2 linked regions of the Struthio camelus genome follow. The protein of the gene in region 2 purifies or fractionates together with the protein of the main gene of each other region. This does not show direct contact. Links are inferred from orthologs where the notes say so. Each region holds a gene or a part of one and is shown on either strand. Other genes may lie near its edges.

Region 1 (6,592 bases), on a different chromosome or scaffold from region 2:
TTTTTTTTAAGCCGTCCAAGATTTTGAGCAGGCTGTAAACTCCGCCGGGCAGAGACAAGGTGCACGAAGAGGCGGCCGCTCTCCTTTCGCGGCGACGTAAAGCTAACCGAGCTTGCAAACTCTTATCTGCAGCCCTTACTGCAGCCAGCTCCTGCTTCTGAAAAGCAAACCAGCTTTTCTTTCTGTTCCCTTTTTGCAGTAATACAGCCTTGCTTTTAAGTTGCACTTAAAAGTAGGAAAGCACTCAACGCGTTTGCTGTCAGATGTTCTTCCCGCTGGCAATCATCCTGGAGGGAAAAGAGCAACTCCTTGAAGTCTGGTCCTTGAAGGCTTTCGGAGGAGGGAGGGGCTGAGCCCCGCCGAAAGGGCCCAGGAGCTGCTCGAGCCCCGTCCGCATCCCCAGACCCTCCCTTGACCTCTTTCACCGGGAAGGATTTAAGTGAAGGTAGGAAAAAATAAATCCAAAGTAACAACTTACCCTTAAATATTTATACAAAAGTGTTATGTTTGACCCTTCTGTTTTGCTAACTAATGAAGTCTGTTTGGTAAGCACGCGGCATGCTATGCAAACACATCTCGCTCGTTCTCGCTTCAGGCTGCATGGGGCTGTTCAATAGGACTTCTAAAGTTCCTAGGGAAAAACAAAAGATTTGGTAGGCCTAGAAGACGGTAAATCACGGCTTAGGGGCTCAGGTAGTAGATGGGAACCTCATTGAATACGCTCATTGTTGCTGCAGTGCAGAAATGAAGTTATTTCTGTAAACCCCAGCCCTGGCGTTCGGCAGCGTGTTTGTCACCTGAGCTCGAGGCAGCCAGTGCTCGGAGTTGCCCTGCGCTCGGTGGGGAAGGGGCTGCGAGGACGGCGCAGTCCTGGTCCTGCGAGCGCCGCCTGCGCTAGCACCTCCGCGGGCCTCCGGGCCGCGTCCTGCAGGTTTGGCTGTCCGCGCGCCGAGGCAGCGGGGCACCTGGTGCTTGGATGGGCTCGTGGGCTCCTGTAAGCTGGGGAAGTGGAAGGAAAAACCGATGCATAGACTTGCACCTTTTGGCAATTAGCACGGTGCTGTATGAGGTGCGAAACATCCAGGGGTGCATTTACACGGCGGAGGCCTGGCCTAGATTCTCCCTGCTGCTGAGTCTGGCTCAACATTTAGCTCCCTTTTAAAAGCTCAACTTGTAGTAGAGTTCTGGCCAGAGTTAATGCTCTAACACACAGAAACCTTGCTTTCTGCCGGCAACTGGGGGCTTTGGTTTGAGAAAGGAAGGTGTGTTTTTTCTCATTTTAAATGAGTTGACGGATCTCTCTATTTTTCCCTTCCCCTCCTGCCCACTCTTGGGAGGGGTTCACCCTCCTACCTGCGAGGGTCAGTCCCTGCCCAAAAAACTGTGGTCTAATTACATGTAGAAAACCTGAATAACCGTCCCTCCCCGAATGCATGTGAGGGGACAGTCCTGCCAGCTTTTGTTAGGGTAATTTTTCAGTAGAAAAAGCTCCAGGTCGGTGTTAAAGACCCTGAACTCAGACCCTTCCCGCTGCCGTCTGCTGCAGAGTCGGGCACCGCCTTTCAGCAAGTTTTGCGATTTGGCTAGCACAGGAAACACATCTCTTGTTTGTCCGGGTTTTTTTTCCTCCTCCAAACTGCACCCGGGACGGCCGACGTGCAAGAGGAATCCCCTTCCCGGAGCGTGTCGTGGTCTCGCTATCGGCGCTGTCCCCGTTAGGCTGCGTCCTCGCACCAGCTCGAAAGCCCTGCTCTGTCCTCTCGTCCCCTCCACACCTTCCTGTCTTAGCTCATGAGCTCTGTGAGCTTAATCATGAGCTAGTGACGGTTTTGCATCTCCTCTGGTGCTCAGCCTGAGTGGGGGAAACAAAGGGAGGGGGAGATCCGTATCGGTCCGAGATTGCGGCGGAGCAGCAGGCCGATGCCGCGGCTGCCCGGGGCAGGAGTTTCCTCAAAGGGGAAAAAAAAAAACATCAGAGTCCCGGCGCGAGGGGATGTTCAGAGCCTGATCCGGCAGCACCCGGCACCCTTGGAAGTTATTAAGGGACCACACAGGAAGGGGAGAAAAGGAGCCGGAGCGTGGGAACGTGGCCGGGGCCGGGGCCTTGCTGCCGCGGAGGCTGCTCCAGGGAGAGTCGCTCCTCCGCGTTTGCTGGGTGCTGCCGGAGGGCTGGCACCAGTTCAGCTTGGCCGTGGTTTCGTCGCTGGGAGCAGGGACGAGGCTGGGGTTTGGTGCCCGGCGGGAGGGAGCTGGGGCTGCGCAGGAGGCTGGATACGGGGTGCCAGCCCCAGCCGCGCGCCCCGTGCATCCCATGCAGCCGTGCTTCTGCCCGTCCTTTGTCCTCTTTACGGTTACTTCTGGGGTCTGATGTGCAGCAGCGACGAAATCCGAGCCAGCAGAGGGAGATGAGGAGTGAGCTGCCCGGCTCACACGGGCCCTGCCGAGCTAGGGCAGCTCAGCGGCGCTAGCAGCCAGGGAAGGAGGGAGCTCGCGGCGGGAGCCGGGCGCAGGCTCTGCGGAGGGAGCTGAGGCTGCAGCAAAAGGAGCAGGAGGAGCTCCAGCCGGCGGCTCTGCCCTGGCTGCTGCCCGGCGATGCGGGCGAGGGCTCAGGTGCCCCGGGGCTGCTCGCAGGACCCCGCGCGGGGAGCTCCTGCCCCACCACCAGCATTTTGGGGCAAATCGGAGGCGCTTGGGACAGCAGGGACCTGCTGCCGGCAGGGACGGCTCTTGCTGCTGGCTTTTCCCAGGGCCAATGCAACCGTGTCCCCACGCTCCCGCGTGCCGTTTCCGCCGTCTGCCCGCGCGGCCTTGGCCATCTGCAGCGCTCGGCGCGAGGGAGCCGAGGGATTACAGCTCTAATCGGGGTCTAAGACAGCAGTGACCTCGATCTGCCGCGTTCAACGGCTTAGTGAGCTGCGGGATGCTTGGGGAAGCGGCGGGGAGTAAAAACGAATGGGGAGCGGGTAATTGCTTTAATGAGTGCTGGGGCAGGCGCTCAGCACTGGCTGGGGGCTCGCAGCGCCCCGGCTTCGGTGCAAGCGCGCTGCGGGTGCCCGCTTGCCTGCAGGTGTGTGCCGGTGGGTGCCAGGCTCGCCGCTCGCCTCCCTCGGGCACGCGGCTCGGCCCGAGTGCCCGGGCTCTGGGATGCGCCGGGCCCCTCCGCCAAGGCCCTGGCAGCTGCTGGCGCTGGGCCAGGCCCCGCAGAGGCGTCGAGCCTGCCGGGGCGAGGCGGGAAAGCCCCTGCTCTGCGCGCTTTCATGTCGACCTCTCTGGGGGTTTTCTTACGTGCTTCTTGCCCACGCCGACGCTGCCCTGCAGCACCGGGCCTGGCAGCGGACCCAGGTGTCCGGGCGCCCCTGTGCAGAGCGTGTACGGAGGGTGGGGGGGATGTGGAGCATGCAGTGGTGTGCAGGATCTGCGTGCTGGTGCTGGGGGGTGCACGGGAGGGTGCCGGGTGCATGCACTGGTGCTGGGGGTCCACAGGAGGGTGTGGGGTGCATGCGTGGGTGCCAGGGGTGCATGGGAGGGTGCAGGGTCCATGCATTGATGCTGGGGGTGCACAGGAGGGTGCGGGGTGCTTGCGTTGGTGCTGGGGGTGCACAGGAGGGTGCGGGGTGCATGCACTGGTACTGGCAGTCCATGGGAGAGTGTGAGGTGCACGCGTTGGTGCCGGGGGTGCACGGGAGGGTGCATTCACCTGTATGGAGGGTGCCCCAGGACTGGACACACACACCAGTACGGTGCATGCACGGGCGGTGTGCAGGATCGGTGCCCGGTGTGCACAGGTACTGGGGGTGCACGGTGCGTGCACCAGGACCGGGCACGCATGCACGGGGATCTCTGTGCAGGATCGGTGCCCGGTCCCGGCGGTGCCCGGTGGGGTTGGGGGGGGGGTGCAGGGTCCGCGCCCAGGCTCGCGGCGACCCCTCGCGGCGGCACCGGCGGGTGGGTCCCATCACCTGGCGTTGCCGCTTTAAGGCGGGCCGGGTGTGTGTGTGTGTGGGGGGGGGTAGTCACGTGAGCGCGCCGGCGGACGTGACGCAGGGCGGCGCGGCGGCCGCCAAGATGGCGGCGCCGAAGGTGAAGCAGGACATGCCGCCGCCGGGCGGCTACGGGCCCGTCGACTACAAACGGCACCTGCCGCGTCGCGGCCTCTCAGGTACCGGGGCCGGAGGGGGCGGCCTGGGCGCTGGGGAGTCGGGTCCCGCCGGCCGGGAAGGGCTCGGGAGCCGCGTTCGGGTTGGGGGGGGGGGAGAGGGCTCGGACGCCTGGGCCCCTCGGACGCCTGGGCCCCTCGGGCGGCGCCGCCGCTGCTGCAGCCGCCGCTCTCCGCAGGTTACAGCCTCTTCGCGCTGGGCATCGGCAGCCTCCTGCTGGGCTACTACACCATCGTCAAGTGGAACCGGGAGCGCAGGTGGTTCAGACCCCTCCCCACCCCCTCAACCCGGGACTCCTGGGCCCCCCCCGGGGGTGCTTCGCCCCCCCCCCCATACCGCAATGGGGGAGGCGGCAGCTCTGACCCGGCCCCATCCTGCTGCAGGCGGCTGCTCATCGAGGACCTGGAGGCGCGGATCGCCCTGATGCCGCTGCTGCAGGCGGAGTCGGACCGCAGGTGCCGGGGACGGGGGGGGACGCTGGCTGGCAGCGGGGCGATGCCCTGGGTCGTCCCCAAGGTGCCCATGGAGGGGGGGGGGCGGGCTGGGGTCTCCCGCCGCTGTCGGAGCACGAGCGGGGCCGGGGCCGGCCCCGAGGGCTGCGCTGCCCTGCCGGAGCGGGTGGGGGGGGGGCGCGGGAGGGGTCCCAAGCCCTTCCCCAGGTCTCTACGGCCTCAGGTGGGCTGTTCACCCGCCGTGGGTCTGCGTTCGCCGCTTGCGCGAAGCCCGGCGTCCGCCCTGGAGAGCGAGCGGGGTTTGCTGACGGTCTCCCAGCGCAGCTCTTGCCCTCTGTGGCTTTCTCAGTCTAGGTGGAAAGCAGCGCTGGCTTCTTGCTTAGCCAGGGACCGTCGCGTGGTCTCTGGAGAATAGACGTGGGGGCTGCGGCTTGGTTGAGGTTTAACTCCCCGCACAGCGTGCTGCACACGCGGTTTCGCGATCGGGGGACAACCTTTCCCGCTGTTACAGGACCCTTCGTCTGCTACGGCAGAACCTGGACGAGGAGGCCAAAATCATGAAGGACGTTCCTGGGTGGCAGGTTTGTAACTCGCAGACGCCACAAGAAAGGGGCCAGAGCAGGCAGCAAAGGGGCAGTGAATGGAGGAGCGCTGGGATCTGCCCTGCGCTGTCCCTCAAAGCAGCGTCTCTTACCGGGCGAGGAACTGGCCCCTCGGGTGGGTTTTGGTCTGTCTTGTGTTTGCTCTGCAAGCTCAGATCATCTGTGCTTGAAGAAATCTCCCAGGACCCAGGTGTCCTGCCAGGTTTATCAGGTGGTAACGAGAGCAAAAGAGGCCAAACTGAGTGGTGGAGCTGAGCCGTGCCGGCGTGGGGTGCGAGGCGCGGGGAGACGGCCTTCCCGCTGCTCACGGCGGGGGCTGGGGGTCTCAGCAGCCTGCACAAGAAATCAAGGCTTGTGGGGTGCAGCACGTGGATGTTGGGGCTCCTGTTGTGGCCTTGTGCCCTGATGGGTCCGTTGGACACCTGCGAGGGCTCCCTTGGGAGCGGCTCATATTTGACATCATCAACGTAGACCTGACCGGGAAGTTAACTTGCCCGGAGGTAGCTGTTTCTGGAGCTCGTGGACCGGCACAGCCGCTCGCCCGCGTGCGGTCGGAGCGCGGGCTCTCCCTGGCGAAGGCCGAGCACTCGCGTTGGCGCGGCCTGTTCACCGGCTCTCTCGCTCTCCAGGTTGGAGAGTCCGTGTTTCACACCGACCGCTGGGTCCCCCCGACGTTAGACGAGCTCTACTACCTGCGGCCGGCCAGCGAGATGGACAACGAGAAGTTCGGCTTGCAGTATTATGTCTGAAGCTTGGCAGAGCCCTGCCTCGCTCTGGATTTCGGTTTCCCCCGATGCGGTGCTGTCTGTCAGCTGCATTTGTTGTTGACCGTGTGTTTGAGCTTCTGCTATTAAAACCACACCGATACGAGATGTCTTGCATGTTCCCGAAGAAGCTCTCTCCGTGTCCCTCTGGGAGAAGCGTCAGCGCTCTTGGGGAGCGCTTGCTACTCTCTTCCCTGTTTGTGCTGTCCCAAGCACGTGTCTGGGGCAGGGAGAGGTCCTGGTATGGAGCAGGCTTGCAGGGCCTTGGTGCCCGTCCCTCTGCGAGGGGCAGGCGCTCGCTTCACTGTGGCCCTTGCTGTTGGCAGCTGGCTCGGGGCTGAGCTGGGCCAAGCTCCGTGTGCTGAAAGCACCCTAGTGCTTTTGGGCGCCTGCCCGGAGCTCGGCTCTCCCAGCCCTGCCCGTCCCTGGCTCACGGCTCTGCCGCCCGAGGCACGTGCGGGGCCTTGTCCCTTGGTGCTGCAGCCTGCTTTGGGGAGCAGGGCAGCCAGGCGGTGAGGGCAAGGCAAGGGCGCTGAGAGCCTTCACGGCCCTGCTGCTGTCACCGGTGCTGTAGGAGAAGCTTCAAAGGTGAGAGTGGGGTTAAAAACGGAGGTTTC
Region 2 (7,646 bases):
CTCCTGCGGGGAGAAAGGCAGCAATGTGGGGGCTGGTGGCCACAGTCCCCCTTAGCCCCAGAGGCATCGCTGCCTCTTCACCCTGCTGACGTGGCCTCAGAGCCCTGCCCCAGCCTCTTATCTTGCTGCTGGCACGCAGAAGCCTGCTCGTGGCAGCCCAGCCCCACGGGAAGGCCTCCGCAGCCTGGGCTAGTGTAGCCCCCTGGGAGGGCTGCAGCGCTGCCCCCCCTTCAGCAAGTCACCTGGGCTATTTGACTCACCCCCAGGATGTGGACACGGTTGTAGTAGGAGCTGAAATCCATGCTGAGCTGGATCAGGAATTTGCACACCTGCAACACGGAGAGCTAGTGTCGGCACTGCAGGGTCTGCTCTTGGGTCGTCTCCCCCACACCAAACAGCACTCGCAGTGTCACAGTCTCGTCCCAGGGAAGCCCCTCAGCACTGTCCCGGTGTTGCATACCGGCGGGCAGCACCCTTCAGGGTGCAGCCTTGCCCCAGGCTGGGGCTGTGAGAGCAGCACCCATGGGTGCTCCGGCACGTGGTACTTACCGTCTCTGCGCTGGCTGTGATCCGGATCCCCTTGCTGGGTGAGGGCAGCTGTGCTGCCTGCTGCAAGACTTCGGGGAAGGGCAGGAGATAGTTGAAGAGCAGGAGCCATTCGCCCTGTGAAAGGGTTCGGTGTGTCCGAGAGGGCCGGATCCCCCTGGGCCAGAAGCATCGATCCTCCGATCCTCCGGAGCTGAGGGCACACAGCTCCCTGCAGCCTCCGTCCCTCAGCACTCACCTCTTCCCGGAGGCAGGAGAAGTTCAGTTCTGATGCTGGCGGCAAGGGTGGGTATGTGCCTGGGAAGGAGGCGAGAGATGGCTGCTGTGCGCATAGCAGCCCCGGTGCTGGGAGCCCTGGGGTCTCCCTGCTGCAGGGACAGCCCAGGGGACTGCTGCACTGGAGCCCCGTCAGGCCATCAGCCTCCTGCCTCTGGCAGAGTCGCTGCTGAGGCGGTTGTGGGGCTCCAGGAACAACCCCATCCCCACGCAGCCGTGAGGAACAGCCCCAGAGTCGCTGCTTAGGGAGAGGGCCCGGTGGGCTAGGGCTCACCCCGCTCCACAGCCCGCTGGTAGGTGTCGAAGAGCGTGGCCAGCCGGGCACAGTTGTACATCACGAAGGCGCCGCTCTTGGTTCCCTTTGTGGAGATGCTGCTGTCCTCCAGGTCCAGAACGATCTGAGGGAAGAGAGAGGCTGCGGTCCAGGCTGCTCGGCACACAGCCGGTCCTGGCACGTCCCTGCACCTCTCGCTGGGGGAGCGGAGCCTTCCCCAGCAGGCAGAGCGTGACCACCAGTGTGCTGAGCCTGGGCCCGTCCTGGGCAGATGGGTGCAGGCTACCGGGGCTGGCTGCTGGTGCAGGAACACCAGCCTGCACCTGCTTGCTTCAGCCCATGGGAAAGCCCTCTGCCCCAAATCCAGGGCAGCCAGAGCCCACAGAGCGCCTCCCCTCTCCCCGTCGCTACTTGTCCCTCTGCTTCTGCCCGACCTCAGCCTGTGCCATGAGCTGTAGCTCCCAAAGAGCGGTATGTCCCACTGCTCACAGGCCCCCCGGCTCTGCACAGACCGTTGCAGCTCTGGCCTGTCCTACCTGACTACGGTGGGCAGTGCTCAGCATCTCAAACCTGATGGCAGCCGCTGTCAGGACATCGATAACCTCAGTCCAGGCCTCGTCTGCAAAAAAACACAAATGGGGCCACAGCACGGCTTGCTCCAGCCCCGCGTACCTGCCACCCTCAGGCAGAAACCCCCCAGTGCGGGCTGGGAACCAACACGCTTCCCTAGCCCCTTCTCGCAGCAGAGAGAAGGGGACCTTCTGTGCAACGGTTCAGACACCTTCCTCCCAAGCAAGGTCAGAACCCCGCTCCTTCCCAGGGGAGAGACCTCCTGGCTGCAGCCACGAGACCCTGAGGTGGGTGGGTGGGTGGGTGGGGGAGACTTATGGGAGCAGTGCGGAAGCAGCATCTACGTGTGGAGCAAACCCTCACCTTGTGCGAGTTCCCCATACTTCATCACAGAGGCTTCGTACATCTGGCGCTTTCGGAGCCTGGGAGGAACACAGACAGTTAGAGCCACCACCGCCTCCCCAGGGCGAGCCTGCTCCAGAGAGGGCCCGAGGGCTCCCCCAGCCTTCGGGCTGCTGGGGCTGGTCACACCGCACGGGGCCTAGCTCCTGCCCCGGCCTTTCCTCCCAGCAGCGCTGCTGGGGAGGGGGAGAGCTACAGCCCCCGGCAGTCAGTGCCAACAGGGCCAGAGGCAGCCCAACTAGAGGAGCCTACTAAGAGCGAGGAGGGCAAAACAGTTGTCTTCCCTCTCCTGCCCCTGCCGTGGATCTCCAGGCCTCTAGAGACAGCCACGAAGCCGCAGAAAAGCGGAACGGAGGAAGGCTGCTGGGACCACACAGAAACTTCCTTAAACCTCCGGCACGCTCATCTGTTCAGAGAGCTTCCTGGGTGTCCGCAGGGCCAAAGCAGAGCCCAGGCAGCCTGGTCGGTGGGTGACACAGCCAGCTCCTTGCTAAATACCAACTTACTGGAAGTACTGGTCTGCCCCAATGGGGGATGAGGGCTTTGCTATCTTCACTGGTCCACAGACAAGGTGTTTCTGAAAAAGAAATGAGACAGCAGGCTTAGGCTCAAGGACTTAGAAGCTGTATCAGCACTAAAATGCAGTGCCAGAAGAATTGAACCTGGAGAGCAGCCAGGGAAACCTCTGCTCACAGCTATGGAAACAGGAAAAGGGGAACACAGAGTCAGGAGCTGCTGAAGTGCACTGGTGCGTTCAGTCAACAGCCCGGTTCTGCCTGCACCCCTGCAATCCCCTCCTGCCCTTCCTTCTTCAGCACTAAGGTCCCAAGGGCTCCGCAGCCTGGGCAAGACTGCGGAGGGGCCAGCAGGGCTGAAGGGAAGGCTCCCGAGGAGGCGAGGCTGGACCTCGGATTCACTGCAGGGACGGCAGGAGAGCTGGCTCAGCCCGAGGACACTGGGGGCCACGATGAAGAAGGCAGAAAGTTCCTCACCTGCAGAGCTGTGTGGGCTCCCGGATCCAAAATCCTCCAGAGCAGATCCATCTGCTGCTGCTGGAATTCCTCCTCGCAGCTCAGCACGTGCACCACGTGGCAGCAGCCTGCCTGGCCGCCGGCCTGCAGCAGAGCACAGCAGCGAGCTCGGACGCCGGCGCGGGACAGAAGGGAACGCCGGCGGGAAGCGAGAGCCAGGCAGCGCGGCGGCGGGGTTACTCACCGCGCACTGCAGGACGGCCTGCTGCAGCTCCGCCAGGCACCGCAGCTTCTCCTCCGTCACTGAAAGGAGGAAGGACAGTCAGGGAGGGAAGCGAGGGCGCGCGGCACCCCTGCTCCGTCCTGCCCCAGCCCGGCAGGTGGAAGGGGAACAACGAGGAAAGGCAGTCTACATCTAAACGCTCCTTATTCTTGTTAAGGTAATTAAAAAAAAGAAACGGACTCCCGTGCCGCCCTTCACGCCCCGTGCTGCCACACTAGCGGCCCACGGCGCTCACCCCGGAGGACGTCCAGGTTGGGGTCGTAGCCCTCCAGGTGCTGCTGCTCCACGAAGCTCCGCAGGTCCACTTCAGCCACGACGTCCTCGGGCAGGGCAGCAGCGGCGCCGCCGGCCCCCCGCTCGCCGGCCGCGACGTAGGGCGACCGCGCCAGGGCCCGCTTCAGGGCGGCGATGGCCTCGGGGCCGCCGGGGTCGGGGCGGCCGCAGGGCCAAGCGACGCGGAGCTGCCGCAGCACCTCCCGGCTCGGCTCGTCGCCCAGGGCGGGCACCAGGCGCACGCTGGCCCTGCGACGGAGAGGGAGGGAGGTGGCGGTGAGGCCGCGGGGCGGCGGCGGTGGGGCCGGCGGGGGGGGTGGCGGCACTCACCCCTGGGCGCGCAGCACCTCGGCCAGGTGGTCGGCGAGCAGCACGGGGCGGAGGCGGCGGGGCGGCAGGGCGGCGGGGCCGCGCAGGCCCGGGCAGTGCAGCACCACGCGCGCCGGGGAGGCCGGCGGTGGGGCCGGCGCAGGGCCGGGGCCCAGCAGCCGCCGGAAGGCCTCCGGCCGCCGCACCTGCACCGCCAGCCCCTCCACTGTCTCCTGGCACCCACTCAGCGGCAGCACTTCCGGGCCCGACAGTGACGTCACGCGCGCCATGACGTCAGCAGGCACCTGCCAGAGACACGGGGGGATGAAGGCAGAGAGAAACCGCTGGGTAAGGCCCCTCCCCCTGCCTCTCTGGCCCCGCCCCCGCCCAGGCAGGCCCCGCCCCCCGCCCAGGCAGGCTTCGTCTCCGGCGCGCCGGCCCCGCCCCCGATGCCTGGCCCCGCCCCTGCCGCCTAGCAGGCCCCACCCCCGCCCAGGTAGGCCTCGTCTGCGGCGCGCCGGCCCCGCCCTCGCTGCCTGGCCCCGCCCCCGCCGCCCGGGCCGGCCCCGCCCCCGCGGCCTACCTGCCCCCCGCCGAACGCGGCCCGCAGCGCGGCCTGCGGCGCCAGGAAGTCGCGGTGCCGCAGGCGGTGGGCGCCGCTCTCCTTCCGCCAGAGCGCGGCCGGCCGCCCCAGCGCGCCGTTCAGGGCCCGCAGCGTCGCCGCCACCGCCGGCCTCCCCTCGCCCGCCTCCATGCGCTCCCCTCGCCGGCCGCTTCCGTCGACCCCGGGGCGTGACGTCACACCCCCCTTCTCGGGCGGGGCCTGGCGGGAAGGCGGCCGCCATGTTGGGCGCGGCGCGCAGCGTGCCTGCGCGGCCATCTTGGGCGCGGGTGGGTTGGACGGGGCCGGGCGGCCATCTTGGGGGTAACGGTGGCGGCGGGGGGGGGGGGGGGCGCCATGCTGGGCGTGGCGGGCAGCACGGCGAGGCCATGCTGGGTGTGGCGGGTCGCAGTGACCGAGCCCCCGGGAGAGCGGTGGCGCAGCCGGTGGGGCCTGCACGGCCCCCGGCGGCCGCTCGCCCGCCAGGCCCGGCCCTCCTGGCCAGGGCGTTTGGGAGCAGGAGGGACGCACCTTCCCCAGGCAGCAGTTCAACCTGCCCCGAAACGCTGCCCCAGCGGCTGCTCCTTCCCCTCCCGGCCTCTCAGAGCCGAGCCCGCTGGGGGCGGCGGGGAGCGGAACCGAAAGAGGGCTGAACCGCGCCGTGGAAAAAAACACGAGCGGCTGCGAGGGCCGGGCAGGAAACGGGCTTTATTGAGCGGCCGGCGGACCGGCCTCGGGGGCCGGGGCTCCTCCGAGGGGAGCCGCTCGGCCTGGCCGCGGGCAGGACGGGGGCTTCGGCCACGCAGCGGCCCGTCCCGCCTGGGTGACGCTGCCCGCCGGGCTCGGGGAAGGGCCGTCCCCGCCGGCTCATCAGCCCCGAGGGGAAGGAGGTGGACGGAAAGGATGGGAGGCCGCGCCTTGGCGGTCTCGCTGCCCGCCGCACAGCCCGGTTCCTCCGCGGCGGCGTTTCACAGCCCGCGTTTACGTGGCGCGTGCTGGCGGGGGCCCCTTCCCTCCTGCCACCCCCGCGCTCGCGGCTCCGGGGTCTCCGGGGGTCGGGCCGAGGTGGGGGTGCTCTCTGCGCCGCCCACAGCCAAGAGGTGATCTGAGACTTGCTGCTCACACCAGACCAACTGCTGACTGTCTGCGGGGCAGGAGCCGCCCGGGGCCTCTGTCCGGCGCGGCACACCCCGACGCGGCCTGAGAAAGCGCTCGGACCTCGTCTCGGGCCGCTGCGCCGGCAGAGCCGCTGCGGGGGGGTCGGCTGGCTCCGTCCCCGGCCCTGCAGGGCTGGGGGGTCCCGGCCCACGGCGGCACCGTCCCCGCGCGGCTCCCTGCTGCGGCGCGGCAGCAGCCCTGCGAAAGCCGGGGTGGCGGGGGGGGGGCCGGGCCGCGTGCCCGACGCGAGGCTCACGGAGGCGCCGAAAAAGCTTTGGACAGACACGACATTCCCGATGGCTCTCCGGCTGCCCGCTCAGCGGGAGTGATCGTGTCATTCCAAAGCCGTCTCTGTCTCTCGGGGGACCGGATCCCACCGGGGTGCCGCTCGCCCTGCCCTACGCCGCCTCCCGCCCCACCGGCGCTGGGTGTTGGGGGGGAGAAACCGCGGGCCGGGGTAGAGCCCCGCGCGGTGGCGGCGGCGGCGGCAGGAAGCCGGCGCAGCATCTCGTGACTCGCGCCGGCCCTCGGCGGCCACATCCACGCTGCGGCCGGCAGCCGCTCGGCACGCTCGCTCCGGCGGTTTCTCCCCAGGAAACGAGCTGCTATCTTTAGCCGGCGGGGAGGCACGAGGTTGGGGGGGGGGCAGGCCTGTCGGAGAGCCCCCGGCATGGCCGGGGTGGGGTGGGGGGGCCGGACGCCCCTTTTTCCCAGCTCGCAGCCGCTGGGGGCAGAGGGGCCGGGGCGGCGGGGGCGGCGGGGCCGAGGCGGGGGCGGCGGCGCGGGTAACGAAATCCCAGGGCAGCTGGGCGCAGCGGGGACAGCTGCTTTTGGGATTCCGTTGCCCGCGCGGGCGCCGGGGCCGGGCCGGGCCGGGGGCTGCCCCGCCGCCCCGCCACACAGGGCGACTTACCGCCGGGCTGGGGGGCGGGGGGGGCCAAGGGGTTGTGCTGCAGCCCCCCCGCCGTCGCCGCGGGTCAGGAGCCAAAGGGGAGGGCGGCGCGGCCGAGCCGAAAGGAAACGGCGCCAAACAACGCGCCGGTGGTGGGGCCGGAGCACCTGGCGCCGTCGTCGGAGCGGCCCCGGAAACCCGAGCTGTCCCCGAAGCAGGGCACCCGCCCCGGCACCTGCGGCGCCCGCCGCCCCCGGGGCCTCCTGGCTCCGTGCCGCCTGGCTGCCCCGGCGGGAGGCCTTCGGGCACCCGCCGCGGGGGAAGCGAAACCGGCCTGCTGCCAGTGCCGGGCCGGCGGTGCGGGGTGGGGGACCCCAACGGCGCCGCGGGCACCTCGCGCTGGGGGGTCCAAGGGTTGGGTGCAGCCCGGCGTCTCCCCACCTCGGCAGGGTGACGGGAACGGCTCCGCTCACGGACGCCGGGAGACGTGCCGATAACCGCCGCGGTGCCGGGGCTGCCGGGCTCCGGGCCAGCGGTGCGGGCGCGGGAGCAGAGCGGGGAGACGGAAACAGGAACCCGAGCGCCTGCCGTGCCGGCGCAGGGGAAGTCACAGCCGCAAGCCGCAGCACGGGGGCTCAGCCCCAGGCTGATGGCAGCGGGCCCACCGGGGGGGGGGGGGGGAGCTGTGCCGGGGGCACAGGGTGGCAGCAGAGCCGAGCCGTGGGGCGCAGGGCAGGAGCAGAGCCGAACCGTGGGGCGCAGGGTGGCAGCAGAGCCGAGCCGTGGGGCGCAGGGCAGGAGCAGAGCTAAACCGTGGGGCGCAGGGTGGCAGCAGAGCCGAGCCGTGGGGCGCAGGGCAGGAGCAGAGCCGAGCCGTGGGGCGCAGGGTGGCAGCAGAGCCGAGCCGTGGGGCGCAGGGCAGGAGCAGAGCCGAACCGTGGGGCGCAGGGTGGCAGCAGAGCCGAGCCGTGGGGCGCAGGGCAGCAGCAGAGCTGAACCGTGGGGCGCAGGGCAGGAGCAGAGCTGTGCCGTGGGGTGCAGGGCAGGAGCAGAGCCGAACCGTGGGGCGCAGGGTGGCAGCAGAGCCGAGC

What was found.
Region 1: the proteins of NDUFAF3 (region 2) and NDUFA13 purify together in Homo sapiens (co-immunoprecipitation; 3 studies listed by BioGRID and IntAct, with this or other methods). This does not show direct contact. The link is inferred for Struthio camelus from reciprocal best matches to the Homo sapiens genes NDUFAF3 and NDUFA13.

The regions. Positions count from the first base shown.
Region 1 is NC_090967.1:6,475,504-6,482,095, forward strand, and holds NDUFA13 (NADH dehydrogenase [ubiquinone] 1 alpha subcomplex subunit 13), read left to right. Parts: upstream 1-3,980; 5' UTR 3,981-4,065; coding exon 4,066-4,159; intron 4,160-4,335; coding exon 4,336-4,414; intron 4,415-4,540; coding exon 4,541-4,612; intron 4,613-5,120; coding exon 5,121-5,190; intron 5,191-5,840; coding exon 5,841-5,960; 3' UTR 5,961-6,083; downstream 6,084-6,592. UniProt on the Homo sapiens protein: Accessory subunit of the mitochondrial membrane respiratory chain NADH dehydrogenase (Complex I), that is believed not to be involved in catalysis. Complex I functions in the transfer of electrons from NADH to the respiratory chain.
Region 2 is NC_090955.1:10,148,593-10,156,238, reverse strand, and holds the start of NDUFAF3 (NADH dehydrogenase [ubiquinone] 1 alpha subcomplex assembly factor 3), read left to right. Parts: upstream 1-4,656; coding exon 4,657-4,829; intron 4,830-7,646. Other genes in the region: DALRD3 (DALR anticodon-binding domain-containing protein 3), read right to left, coding at 1-3, 261-329, 550-663, 785-843, 1,097-1,220, 1,633-1,715, 2,030-2,088, 2,575-2,645 and 5 more. UniProt on the Homo sapiens protein: Essential factor for the assembly of mitochondrial NADH:ubiquinone oxidoreductase complex (complex I).